3 linked regions of the Rattus norvegicus genome follow. The protein of the gene in region 1 purifies or fractionates together with the protein of each later gene. This does not show direct contact. Links are inferred from orthologs where the notes say so. Each region holds a gene or a part of one and is shown in the gene's direction. Other genes may lie near its edges.

What was found.
Region 2: the proteins of Pfdn2 (region 1) and Pfdn1 purify together in Homo sapiens (affinity purification with mass spectrometry; 5 studies listed by BioGRID and IntAct, counting the BioPlex papers as one, with this or other methods). This does not show direct contact. The link is inferred for Rattus norvegicus from reciprocal best matches to the Homo sapiens genes PFDN2 and PFDN1.
Region 3: the proteins of Pfdn2 (region 1) and Pfdn4 purify together in Homo sapiens (affinity purification with mass spectrometry; 6 studies listed by BioGRID and IntAct, counting the BioPlex papers as one, with this or other methods). This does not show direct contact. The link is inferred for Rattus norvegicus from reciprocal best matches to the Homo sapiens genes PFDN2 and PFDN4.

What each region holds. Positions count from the first base shown.
Region 1 is NC_086031.1:86,319,262-86,322,900, forward strand, and holds part of Pfdn2 (prefoldin subunit 2), read left to right. Parts: intron 1-1,587; coding exon 1,588-1,676; intron 1,677-1,768; coding exon 1,769-1,892; intron 1,893-3,177; coding exon 3,178-3,354; 3' UTR 3,355-3,639. UniProt on the Homo sapiens protein: Binds specifically to cytosolic chaperonin (c-CPN) and transfers target proteins to it. Binds to nascent polypeptide chain and promotes folding in an environment in which there are many competing pathways for nonnative proteins.
Region 2 is NC_086036.1:28,338,196-28,342,356, reverse strand, and holds the start of Pfdn1 (prefoldin subunit 1), read left to right. Parts: upstream 1-1,233; 5' UTR 1,234-1,260; coding exon 1,261-1,293; intron 1,294-4,161. UniProt on the Homo sapiens protein: Binds specifically to cytosolic chaperonin (c-CPN) and transfers target proteins to it. Binds to nascent polypeptide chain and promotes folding in an environment in which there are many competing pathways for nonnative proteins.
Region 3 is NC_086021.1:179,720,343-179,724,692, forward strand, and holds the start of Pfdn4 (prefoldin subunit 4), read left to right. Parts: upstream 1-1,422; 5' UTR 1,423-1,513; coding exon 1,514-1,552; intron 1,553-4,350. UniProt on the Homo sapiens protein: Binds specifically to cytosolic chaperonin (c-CPN) and transfers target proteins to it. Binds to nascent polypeptide chain and promotes folding in an environment in which there are many competing pathways for nonnative proteins.

The sequences.
Region 1 (3,639 bases):
CTCACAGCCGCCTGTGAATGAAGCTCCGGGTGAAACCGACACCCTCTTCTGATCTCCATATGTTTATATACACACAGGCACACACATAAATATAAACATCCTGAAATCTTTAAAAAAAAAAAAACAAAAACAAAAACAAGGACTTCTGTTGTGGTTTTCCCTGGAGTTATCTGTATTTTGATGCTAATTCCACTGCCCCAAGGACAGCTGCCTAGTCACTTACTCAGGAATCAGGTGACTACACCAGAACCTTCTCCCCATTGAATTTGTAAAGTACAGGTGAGGGGCAGGTACAAGATAGAAGGAGGCCTGTCATTGGAGGAGAAGGAAGGATGGGCGGGAGAGAAGTTTGAAGGAAGAGGAGGAGACTGGAAGAGAAAGGAGGAGAGAGGAGAGGGTGAGAAGCCATGGCAGGTGATGTTAAGAGTCTGCTCTGTGTATTTACAGGTTGTTATTAATGTTCCTAAGGGATGGATGGTACCGGGCTTTGTATGTTTAAGTGGGCAATTATATCTTATCAATTGGATCCAAGATTATTGCATTGTGTGTTCTTTTATGTGAGGGTTTGAGTATAGGAGAGTGTGTGGCTGGGATGTGTTTCCGCAAGATATCTAGCAGATATCTTGGGGCACCACAGTGCAGGACCTAGTGAGGTAAAAGACACCTATACCTTTTTATTGTTTTATATTTTTACAACAACAGACTTCAGAGATGATGACTCGATGATTAGGCATATAAAAGTTCACACTGTGGGGCTGGAATGATGGCTCAGAGGTTAAGAGCACTGAGATCAGTTCCCAGCAACCACATGGGGGCTCACAACCGTCTGTAATGGGATCCAATGCCTTCTCCTGGTGTGTCTGAAGACAGCTACAGGGTACTCATATATATATAATTAAATAATTCTTAAAAAAAAAAAAAAGTATACACTGCTCTTCTAGAAGACCCAGGTTTGATTTCTAGCACCCATATCCGGCCCGTGACTCCATCACCCTCTTCTGGTCTCTGAGAACTGCACTCGTTTGCACAAACACACAGTTATCCATATAATTAAAAAAAAATCCGGGCTGGGGGTGGCAAACTGGCAAGCAGCTCAGTGGCTAAAAGAACTTAAGAGAAAAATGGTTAAAAGATTTTGCCTAGGACCCAGGCTCAATTTCCAGCACACACAGGGTGGCTCACGACCACTCACTATTCCAGCTTCAGGAAATCTGATGCCTTCTTCCGGCCTCTGGGCACTAGGCACACACAGCGTGCACATATATACATACTTCCAGGTATAATAGCACTCATCAACATGTAGTAAAAATTAATAAGTTGGGGGGAGGCATAAAAAAGCTGTGACAGACTCTTTACTGGCAAGTCTCTCTAGGTATTCCAGCAGCTCCTCCCCTCCCCCATCTCTCCCATCCAAGTCTATTGTTAAATCGCCCCCTTGTGCCTAGTAAATATCTCATACATAGAGGCATGCAGACGTATTCTACAACTTTCCCAAGATAGGTATCCATCCACTACTGCGCCTCTGTGACTTGTCCTCCCGGGGGCTGCCTCTGCTTTCTGGTTTTCACTGGCTCATTTCTCTCTTAGGTAATTGCTGGCTTTAATCGCCTTCGGCAGGAACAGAGGGGCTTGGCCTCCAAAGCAGCTGAGCTGGAGATGGAACTGAATGAGCATAGGTAAGAATGCCGCAGAGAGACAGTATTGGAGGGAGGCTTGCAGGGGAGCAGGACTATTCTGAGGTCTTGTCTTGCTCTCCTACCCTACCTAGCCTGGTGATCGATACGCTGAAGGAAGTGGATGAGACCCGCAAGTGCTACCGCATGGTTGGCGGTGTGCTGGTAGAGCGGACGGTCAAGGAGGTGCTGCCTGCCTTGGAGGGTAACAAGGAGCAGGTGAGCACAGATCCCTGAGGTGGCATTCGGGCAATCAAGAGGTTAAATATGGGTGGCCAGGGATTTAGGGAATGCGAGGAAAGAAAGTCCAGGCAGAAATTCATGTTGACAGTATATTATGTCTGTTGGCTATATGCTATGTCCTTTATAAGTCAAAAGTCCAACTCCTGAAGTGAGGAGTTGTTGGCTGTGGCCCCTTTCCATGGGCCCTTTGATGTGGTTGAGTTGGGAGGGGAATGGGTAGAGCAGTTTCTTACAATATAGTCTGGATCCCTGAGTCAGAGTCACCTGAAGAACTTGTTTAGCAGTGTTGGGCATCAAACCCAGGGCCTTATGCACAGCAGGCTAAATACTCTATCATTGGGCTATGCCTCCATCCAAGAACCAATTTAAACTGTAACTTCTTAGGATATCTCTGGATCCGTGGAGCCAAACCCTTGAAGAAACCATAAGTGACATTTCAAAGGAAGAAAGAGTCCTGACTGGGATGTCATACATTGGTGATTAACTTGCTGAGATGATGAGGCAGGAGAATCTTGGGTTTGAAGCCTGCCTAGGCTAACTATAAAACAATCAATAAAAAAAGAATGTGACCTAAAAGAAGGAACGATAGCATCATAAATGCTCTTTAAAAAACAAGCAACCCTGGGCTGGAGAGATGGCTCAGTGATTAAGAGCACCGACTGCTCTTCCCGAGGTCCTGAGTTCAAATCCCAGCAACCACATGGTGGCTCACAACCATCTGAAATGAGATCTGATACCCTCTTCTGGTGTGTCTGAAGATAGTGACAGTGTAATCATAATATATAATAAATAAATATTTAAAAAACAAGCAACCCACCCTCCCTGGGGAGCCACTGAGGACTGAAGGTTGCTAGAGATGGGGCAGTCATTGTCTTAAGTGATGTATCCCCTGGCAAGCTGCTCCTGTGGCTAGCCCACAAGGGTGCCCTGGTTAGACCCATGGGTCACAAAACAAAACAGAAATATGATTTTGAGATGGGTTGTGTTGGTGGCCAGTGGGTAAGAGTGGGGTTAAGTTTGAGAAGAATAATTATATACTTTTATAACATTATCAAAGAATAGTGAAAGCAAGTAGCCCAGATGTTCCCTTTTATAAGCCACTCACTGTGTTTGAGAATTCACTTGAGAGTCTGGGCTTTGCTGATGCTGGGCTAAAAGGTGAGCTTAAATGTGTTGTTTCACTGCCTCTAACCATAGCACATTCCAGGTCAGAGGAGGGAGACCTGCAATCCTTCTGTATCCTCTTTTCTTTGCCTTTTAGATACAAAAGATCATTGAGACACTGTCACAGCAGCTTCAGGCAAAGGGAAAAGAACTCAATGAATTCCGGGAAAAGCACAACATTCGTCTTATGGGAGAAGATGAGAAGCCAGCAGCCAAGGAAAACTCAGAAGGAGCTGGGGCTAAGTCCAGCTCAGCAGGGGTGCTGGTCTCTTAGGGACTAAGGCCTCTGCATTCTATTTTACCCTGATTCCCACTTCTAATTTCTTTTTATTGTTATTATTATTTTTCTGCTATTGTAATTTTTTTGTTGTTGTTAATTAAATGTTTTGGTCAAATACTTAACTGTAGCCTGAAACTCTCTTACTTAGGGCTACACTGACAGCATACAGCTGGGCATGGTGGCAGACATATCTTAGTGCTGGGGACACAACAGGAGGCAGATCTCTGAGTTCCAGGCCAGCCCAGTGTACAAAGCGAGTCCGCAGTCATCCAAGGCTAT
Region 2 (4,161 bases), on another chromosome or scaffold:
TCTCTATGTCATTGAGGATAACTTGAACTTTTTTAAAGTACAAAAAGATTTATTCTTATTATCTTTAATTTTGTCTACACATGTGCATGCGTGTGAGAGCATGTAAGCACAGGTGCCTGCAGAGGCTAGGGTGTGCATTCTCTGGGGACTGGAGATTACAGGTCATTGTGAGCCATCTAACGTGTGCTGAGAGTCAAGCTCTGATTCGCTGGAATAAGAGTATAAGCTCTTTTTTTTTTTTTTAAAGATTTATTTTATTTATATGAGTACACTGTAGCTGTCTTCAGACACACCAGAAGAGGGCATCGGATCCCATTACAGATGGTTGTGAGCCACCATGTGGTTGCTGGGAATTGAACTCAGGACCTCTGGAAGAGCAGTCAGTGCTCTTAACCACTGAGCCATCTCTCCAGCCCCAAGGGTATAAGCTCTTTAACTGCTGACCCATCTCTCCAGTTCCTAGTTTTAAATTTGAATCTATTCAGTGTATGTGTGCGTTCATAAGCATGTGTGGAGGTACACACATGGAAGGGAGTCAGAGGATAATTTGTGGGAATCAGTTCTCTGCACCATGTGGGTTCTCAGGATTGAACTCATTTATTTCGTTATGGTGGCAAGCACCTTTATTCCCCAGGCTGACCTGACCTTGAACGTATGATCCTCCTGCCTCAACCTACCTAGCACTTGGATCACAGGAATGCATCATCATACTCGTTTTGTACGGGGCAATTCAGAGTATCAAATGTGCTAGGCAAGCATTTAGCCAACTGAACTACACCCCAGTCAGGAATCTGATCCCAACAAACAGAATTGTCTCAAGAAGCACTGTGTCTAGAAGATATATGAGGAAGCTTCGGCAGAATTAGGTTCTTTTTAGATGAACCATATTGCTAATGGTCTTACTGGCATGCCCGAAGCTGGACTGACAGCACAGGAACTGAATGAATGATTGATGAGCTGACCGACAAACCTGTTTCAATTCCGCAGCCCAAGTGAAGATGTTTTTCTAATTGTATGTGGAGGAGCAAGTTACATCTCGGCAGTTACACGTTTATCAAATATAATCAGAATTTCAATGTTCAGGGTCATTTGTCTCGTGGCAGAGTGGTAGAGTCGGGTAGATTACAAGCTGAGAAATCTGGGTTAGTTGAGTTCACCTTTGCGCAGGCGCAGAAGGAAGCCTACCAATAAAACCTGCAAGCGCCCTTCCCCCACCCCTTTCCGGCTTGCCTCTAGCGCAGGCGCATAGTGTCCTTCAATATGGCCGCCTCCGTGGATCTGGAGTTGAAGAAGGTAAGGGGGGATTTTCAGCAGACAGACACTTCTGTTTGAATGATAAAGCGAGTAGGGACGAAAATGGGGGCGTGAGGGGGGAGGGGGAAAGCTCGCGTTTCGCTGGAGGAAGGAGACTGTAGGGGGCGGGGTCTGGCCTCCCGAAGCCTTGAGACCGGACCCGCTCTGCTTCAGGTGGAGGCTCTTGCTCGCAGGAGCTGTTTCTGGTGGGTTTAGGTTGCTGGGTCGCACGCGGGCTGGGCTGCAGTGTGTTCTTATGTTGGAACTTCAGAGACATCTCTCTGTGTTTTGGAGCCGTCGGGTACCAATTTCATAGCAAGGACTGAAGACAGTGTCTCACAGTGATGATGCCTGTCAGGATGCTTGCAGGAGAACTTGCAGTTTGGTTTCCTCATTTGATTTGAAAAACTCCAGGTTCAATCTTTGCTTTTAGGTCATTTATTCTACACTATACCTTGAAAGGTCTTTCTGTATTTACACCTCAAATAAGCAGACACTGCTTGACTCCTGTCAAGGCTCTAATCCTCCCTTCCCCATCACCTTTGTAAAGAGCTCATACACTACCCCTCCTCCCCAAGTAAGTTTTCCAAAAGACCTTTCAGAGGAATTGGATTGTTGTTGTTGTTATTATTATTTTGTTCAATCCGTTGCTTAGAAATGATTTTGTTATTTTGCTTTTTTTTTTTTAAGAGACAATGTCTCAGGGTGTTCTAGATTGACGTGGGACTTATTGCCCTTGAATTCCAGGCAGTCTTTCTGCCTCAGCCTCTTGAGTTCTGGGAATTAGTCTTGAGTCAAATGCCTGTTTATAAATGGGTTGTTAATTGGAAACATTTTTGCTACTTAACAGTCTTGGGACTGATCCTGGCTGTGCTATCTTTGTGGAGAGTTAGCTGTAATTAGAAAGGACCCTAGAACTCATTCTGTTTAAATGTACTTTTCTAGAAAGGTAAACTTCTAGTGTTTTTTTTTTTTTTTTTTTCTTTCTGGTTAGCTTGGTTTAGTTTGGTCAGGCCCTGAACCCCTAATGTACTTTAGTGCTGTTGCCTTCAGAGTATTAGGGTAACAGATATGTGCTAGGGTCCCTGGCAAGAAAAGTCTTAAAAGATTGAGCCCCAGGCAGCAAGATGGGTCAGTGGTGAAAATACTTGCCAGGCGCCTGGCTGTTTAAGTTCTATCCCTGGAACCAACGGTAGAAGGAGAGAACTACACAAAGTTGTTCTCTAATCTTAGAGGCACACACTAGTACACTGCTCGGTGCTCACACAAACAATAGTAAACACATTTTTGTTTTTTCTTTTCTTTTTTTTTTTTTTTTTTTCGGAGCTGGGGACCGAACCCAGGGCCTTGCGCTTTCTAGGCAAGCGCTCTACCACTGAGCTAAATCCCCAACCCCAGTAAACACATTTTTAAAACGGAGTCTAGCATTTGGAATTACTGTAATCCTTTTTTTTTTTTTTTTGTTCAGTAGGTTTTTTTTAGGTGAGAAACATTTTTAAAAGTTGTGTGTGTGTACATTTTGCAAGGTGCTTAGTGGAAGTCAGAGAACAATTTTTGGGAGTTAGTTCTCTCTTATGAGGTGGGTCCTGGGGATTGAACTCTTGGTATCAGGCCTTCTAGGCAAGCTGAGCCATCTACTGGCCCAGATTTGGATTCTGGTTTTGTTTTTCCCAAGAGACAGAGTCTCATGTCGCCTAGGTTGGCCTGGAACTTGGCTATGTAGTTGGCATGCACCCCTACACCCAGTTTCCCTAGTGCTAGGATTTGCACTCAGGGCTTCCTGCATTCGACAAGACCTCTCACTGGGACCTAGGGATTGCCACTTTGGCGAGATTGTCTTGTGAGCTGCTGGGACCTTTATTTCCCCCTTGCCCTTCATGCCTAGCATTAAACAACAACAAGTTGTATTTTTATGTATGTGTCTTGCCTGCATGAATGCCTGTATACCATATGTGTGCATCCCTCTCAGGCTAGAAGAGGGCTTTGCATCCCCCTGAAACTGTAGTTAACATGTGGTTGTGGGTTGCTATGTGGGTACTGGGAACCAAACCTGGTCCTCTGCAAAAGCAGCCAGTGCTTTTAACCCCTGAGCCATCCCATCAGCTCCCAAGCTCAGCCACCTTGTGGGTCCTGGGGAGTGAACCCTGGGTCAGCTGACTGCACTGTTTCCCTAGCTCCCATAAGTAACATCATAAGTAGCTGTCTCTGGTTAACCTGTGCCTAAGTAATACGACAGCTGAAACAGCTGTTCCTAATAAAAGAAGCCACTTGCTATTGTTCTGGGGATGCTAAATATGTGCATCTTTCTGCCATTCTTGTCTTGAAACATGTAAACTTAGCCTTAGATAGCATTCTCTCATGCTATAAATCTCAGCCTTGTAAGCTTTTCTTTCTTTTTCTCTTTTTCTTTTTGAGACATGGTCTCACCATGCATCCTGGACTAGCTTGGAACTCACTATATAGGTAGACTAGGCTAGCCTAGAAATCACAAGAGATCCTCCTGGGTTCTAGGATTAATGCATTTCTGTGCCTGACATGTAAATCTCAGCTATGTATCTATATCTTTATATAAAGCGTTTTCTCCTTTTATCATGTAGGTTCAGGTCCCAGGGATGGAACTCAGGTTGTTAGGCATGGTAAGAAGTACCTTTACCTGCTGAGCCATCTGTGAACCATTGTCTGTCTGTCTGCCCACCCATCTATTTATCTATTTATAGATAGATTAAAAATTAATTTTAAAATGTAGTTTGTGCATTTGAAAGTGTGCTCAAGTGTTCTCTTACCAAGTAGTTCCCAGGGTCAAACTTAGGTCATTAGGCTTGGTGGACAGTGCTGTTATCTGCTGAGTCAATCTCAATCCCCTAAAAA
Region 3 (4,350 bases), on another chromosome or scaffold:
GTATCCTTTCGGTCCAGTCAACATTCCACCAACTACTGAATCGCCATTGACCACTGCAGCCAGACACTAGCTCTCCCTTCTGAGTCTGGCCCAAGGGTTACAGAGTTCAGGACTGGGGTTTTCCGTATATACAAAGGAGTTCCTAAAAAACAAACAAATAAACAACAACAACAACAACAAAACCCAAAAAACCAAACCAAACAAACAAAAAACAAAAACAAAAACGGTGCCACCGTGACCCCAGGTACCACTGAGATTCGATTCTGTATTACAACTGCGAAGTAGCAGAATGAAAATGGCTTCCCGAAGTTAACAAAGGCCCTGGTTACTGAGGAAGCCTGGTGCCCACTGGGCCCTGGGTGGATAGCCTTCTCAGGCTAATATATTTGAGTGAGTGAAACACATATTGCTGAACCAATCTAATTTTAAATACGTAAAATAATTCGTTCCAGTGACGCATGATGGCACATATCTTTGATCCCAGCACTCCAGAGGCAGAGGCAGGAGGATCTCTGTGAATTTGAGACCAGCTTGGTCTACATGTATAGTTCCAGGACAGCTAGGATTACATAGAGAGACTCTGTCTATGAATAAATAAATAAATAAATAACCAACCAACCAACCATCCAGTAAGCTTCCATCTAAGGGTCTGAGTCTGTTACAGCGCTCTAGATCAACTGTTCTCAACCTATTGATCGCGACCCCTTCACAGAGGTCGCCTAATGCTATCAGAAAATAGGTATTTATTTACATTACGACTTATAACCATAGGAAATTTACATAGTGAAGTAGCAACAAAAATACCTTTATGGGTGGGGCGGGGGGTCACTACAACATAAGGAACGGTATTAAGGGGTCTCAGCATTAGGAAGGTTGAGAACCACTGCTCTAGATCCTTTTGGGGTCACTTACGTTTGGTTTCATTTACTCCTGGCTAGTGTCATTTAGCCCATCCTAGTGTCCCTTGCAGTGGTCAGTGGCATACAAGCTAAGGCCAACTTCAAGGGTGGCCTATATACCAGTCCCTTCAGCTTGTAGCTTTGCCAGCACTGGGCTTTTATGTGGTAGGGGCTGTGGATAGAACTCAGGATCTCATCTTGAGTGCAAATACTTTACCAAAGGAGCCGAAGCCACGCCCGCAGCCTCCCTAGCGTCAGTGTTAGGTTGTTGAAGAAAGGGAAAAAGAATTTAAGCCTCCCAGCCCACCCAGCTGGGCGGTACCTACCAAGCGCTCCCCCTGCTGGCCGTGACTGGAATCCCAGGCCCGACTAATGGCCTCACTCGGTATTTATGCCGGCCGAGAGGGAAGCTGCCTGTCCCTTTAATTGGAAAGTACCAAGTGTTTTCCAGACTATAGTTTTTTTCTGCGTCCTTGCCATGGGAATTCATAGGTCAGAGACATAGTTGGCAGTAATGTGGAGATATTTCTGTATTTTAGGGGAGTTTGGCTCAGCAGGGCTCGAGAGGGACCTCGTGGGGTGACGCGCGCCTGGATGGTCTTCCCCCGCGCCCTATGGTTCAGTCCAAGATGGCGGCCACCATGAAGAAGGCGGTGAGTGCGGCCGAGCCGGGGTCCGAGGATCCGTGGGCTGGGGGATCTGGGGAGACGCGGGACGCTGGGGAGTCGGAGGTCTGAGGAGATGAGGTATCTGAGGCGCCGGGGCCACGGGATGCGCAGGGCCTGGGCCCGTGCTAGGTCCAGGGGTGCTGCTGTTCTCTTGGCTCACGTCAGGGTAACTGCCTAACCTGCTCAGGGTCGCGCATCTCCTCAGGCACCGAATCGGTTTCTGCATCCCGGGATGTCTGGTACCGCACCTCGGTGCTCCGCCCGGAACCGCCCATGTCCGTCTATGCTCCATGCACCTAGTGTTTAATTGACGCTGAGAGGAGTCGGCCCGAGCCAGTGTGGTGGCTACCCCGGCTTTTCCTAGCCTTTAGGAAGGACTCGGGTCCCCACACTGTGCCCCGCATTCTTTACAGTTAGCCATTCTCTGGTGACTCATCTGGTAAGATGTTGGGTCTGGTGATTTCGTTTCCCCAAAATTACAGCTCTTTATTAATTTAAAACGCCCTCCGATGATTTTTCATGGGGCTTGGTGTGGTGTTTTATCACACTTTTTAAAGACATGGACTTACGTGTGTGTACACCAGACTGGCCCACTGCCCCCTGTGCGGTCAAAGATGATTTTGAATTTCTGCCTCCACCTCCCACCTTCCAGTTGTTGGGATTACCCGGGTTTGTCACCACACCCAGCTTTTGGTGTGCTGGTGGGGTGAACCCAGGGCTTCGTGCACGATAGGCAACTAATCTACACGGCTTTGCAACCCCTCCGTCATACTTCGAGCCACCAACTTAAGCTAAACTCCCATGTGGGTTTTATGACCCCAGAGTGTTTCCAGATGTGCAGGTATGTCTAAATACAGGGGAAGAATTGCAGAGAGGAAAAAAAGAACACACAAGCAAACAGCTGATAACTATTGGGGCTTCAAAGTATGTTGGGCACAGTTCTTAGCGTTTGCATGTCATCCTGTGCAAACCTTTTGGGAGATTCTGTTCTTATTCATATTTAACTGAAGAGGAACGGAAGGGCAGAAGATCTGGGATTTAAACAGCACTCACATTCTAGGCTCCACTCTGTCTGTCTGCCTGCCTGCCTGCCTGCCTGCCTGCCTGTCTTTGTCTCTCTCTGTCTCTGCCTCTCTCTCTCTCAGGCTCCTTGTCGTGTCTGTCTGTCTATGTGCCTGCCTGTCTCTGATGAGAGGCGCCTGACTGAAGGCAGCTGCTTTCACTCCACTTCCTAATAGATGTCCCTGTTTATGTTCTTGCTATTGGCACCACACAGTCAGTGCCTCCGACCACCGAGGGATGACGGTCAGCCATTCCAGTTTGTTAAGAGCAGAGCGAATGGCTGCCGAGCCTGGGGAGGCTTCAGAGTTAGAATAAGTCCTTCACCCTGATCTGTCACTCACAAATTATCATACAGTAGCAGCATGCAGTCCGGGGCCATGGTGATTTGGCCAAGTAGGAAACAAGTTCATTTGCCTCTCTTGGGAGATTGGGCCCTCAGCTGTCCGTTATACTGTGTAGTTCCATGACATTGTCCGTCTCTGGTTTTGCTTTTTTGAGGGAAGGTCTCACTCCGTAGCGTTGGCTGGTCTGGAATCCTCAGAGATCTGACTGTCAACTGAAGTGGAGAACTTTTTGGCTGGGGACTCAACTCTCAGTACCTGAACTTGGAATAGTTACAGTTTGTTTTCTCTTACAATCCCATAAGATGTTCCCAAGGCCAGGGTGTAGTCAGGGCCCAGGGCAGTTTACTTTCTTCTTGACTCTGGAGCAAGTCATGTCTCTTATAACCAGCAGAGTCCCCTTAAATCTGCAATGATCATTTTGCCATTCTTCCTTCATTTCTTTTAATGAAGTCTCTCATACGTAGCCCAGGCTGGCCTCAAACTCACCATGCAGCCGGGGATGAACTTGTACTGTTAGTCCTCCTGCCTCTACCTCCTGACTGCTGGGGTGCAGGCTTGTCTCCGCACACCTGGCTTTATGCAGTGCTGGGGGTGAAGCTCGGGCCTTTGCATGTGCTGGGCAAGCATTCTACTGAGCTAGCCTTCTACTGAACCTTAGAGGCAATATGGAGCAGGCAAAGTACTTGGCTATCCTTGATCGAAGGGTGAGTGCATACCCAGGCCCCATGCACTTGGGGCTCATTGTACCATCCCTGCAAGGGAGACAGATTGGGGGTGGCTCCAGGGAATTGAGAAAATTACCTGAAGTTCCACATGCCTGGTTCGGAGTCCCCTCCTGCCATCCCTTCACTCCTATCTGGAGTAGAAAATAACCCTCTTCAGTAGTCACTGCGCCCACGCCTGCCTAAGACAGGAGTCGCTAGCCCTCTGAGCTTATAGGTGTCTTTGAAAATCCGAAAGCTGCTACGACCCCTTGCGGAGAATGTAGTCGAAGGCTAGGCATGTTCACCTTGCACCCTTTGGTCCCAAGGATAGCTGTGAATGGAGCCCAAACCATTTGTAGATGGCATCATGTCACAATGTCAAAAGACTGGACACCCTGCAATGTCTACCTATTTTGCGTATGGTTTGGGGGACTAAATCGACTTCTTGATGACCTTGCACGCCAGCTAGAAGTTACTATCTTCCTGCCAAAATGCAGTTCAAGGAGCGTAGAAGTGGGGTTGAGGTGTAGCTGAATGGACATGCTTGGCCAGCATAGAAGGCCCTCAGTTCAGTCCCTAGCACCTTAGAAAGAAACGAGGTATTCTGGGAACTTCTTCCCCAAGGGATCATGGGTATCAGTTTCTTAGCTACTGCTGAGGACCAACCCCTCTC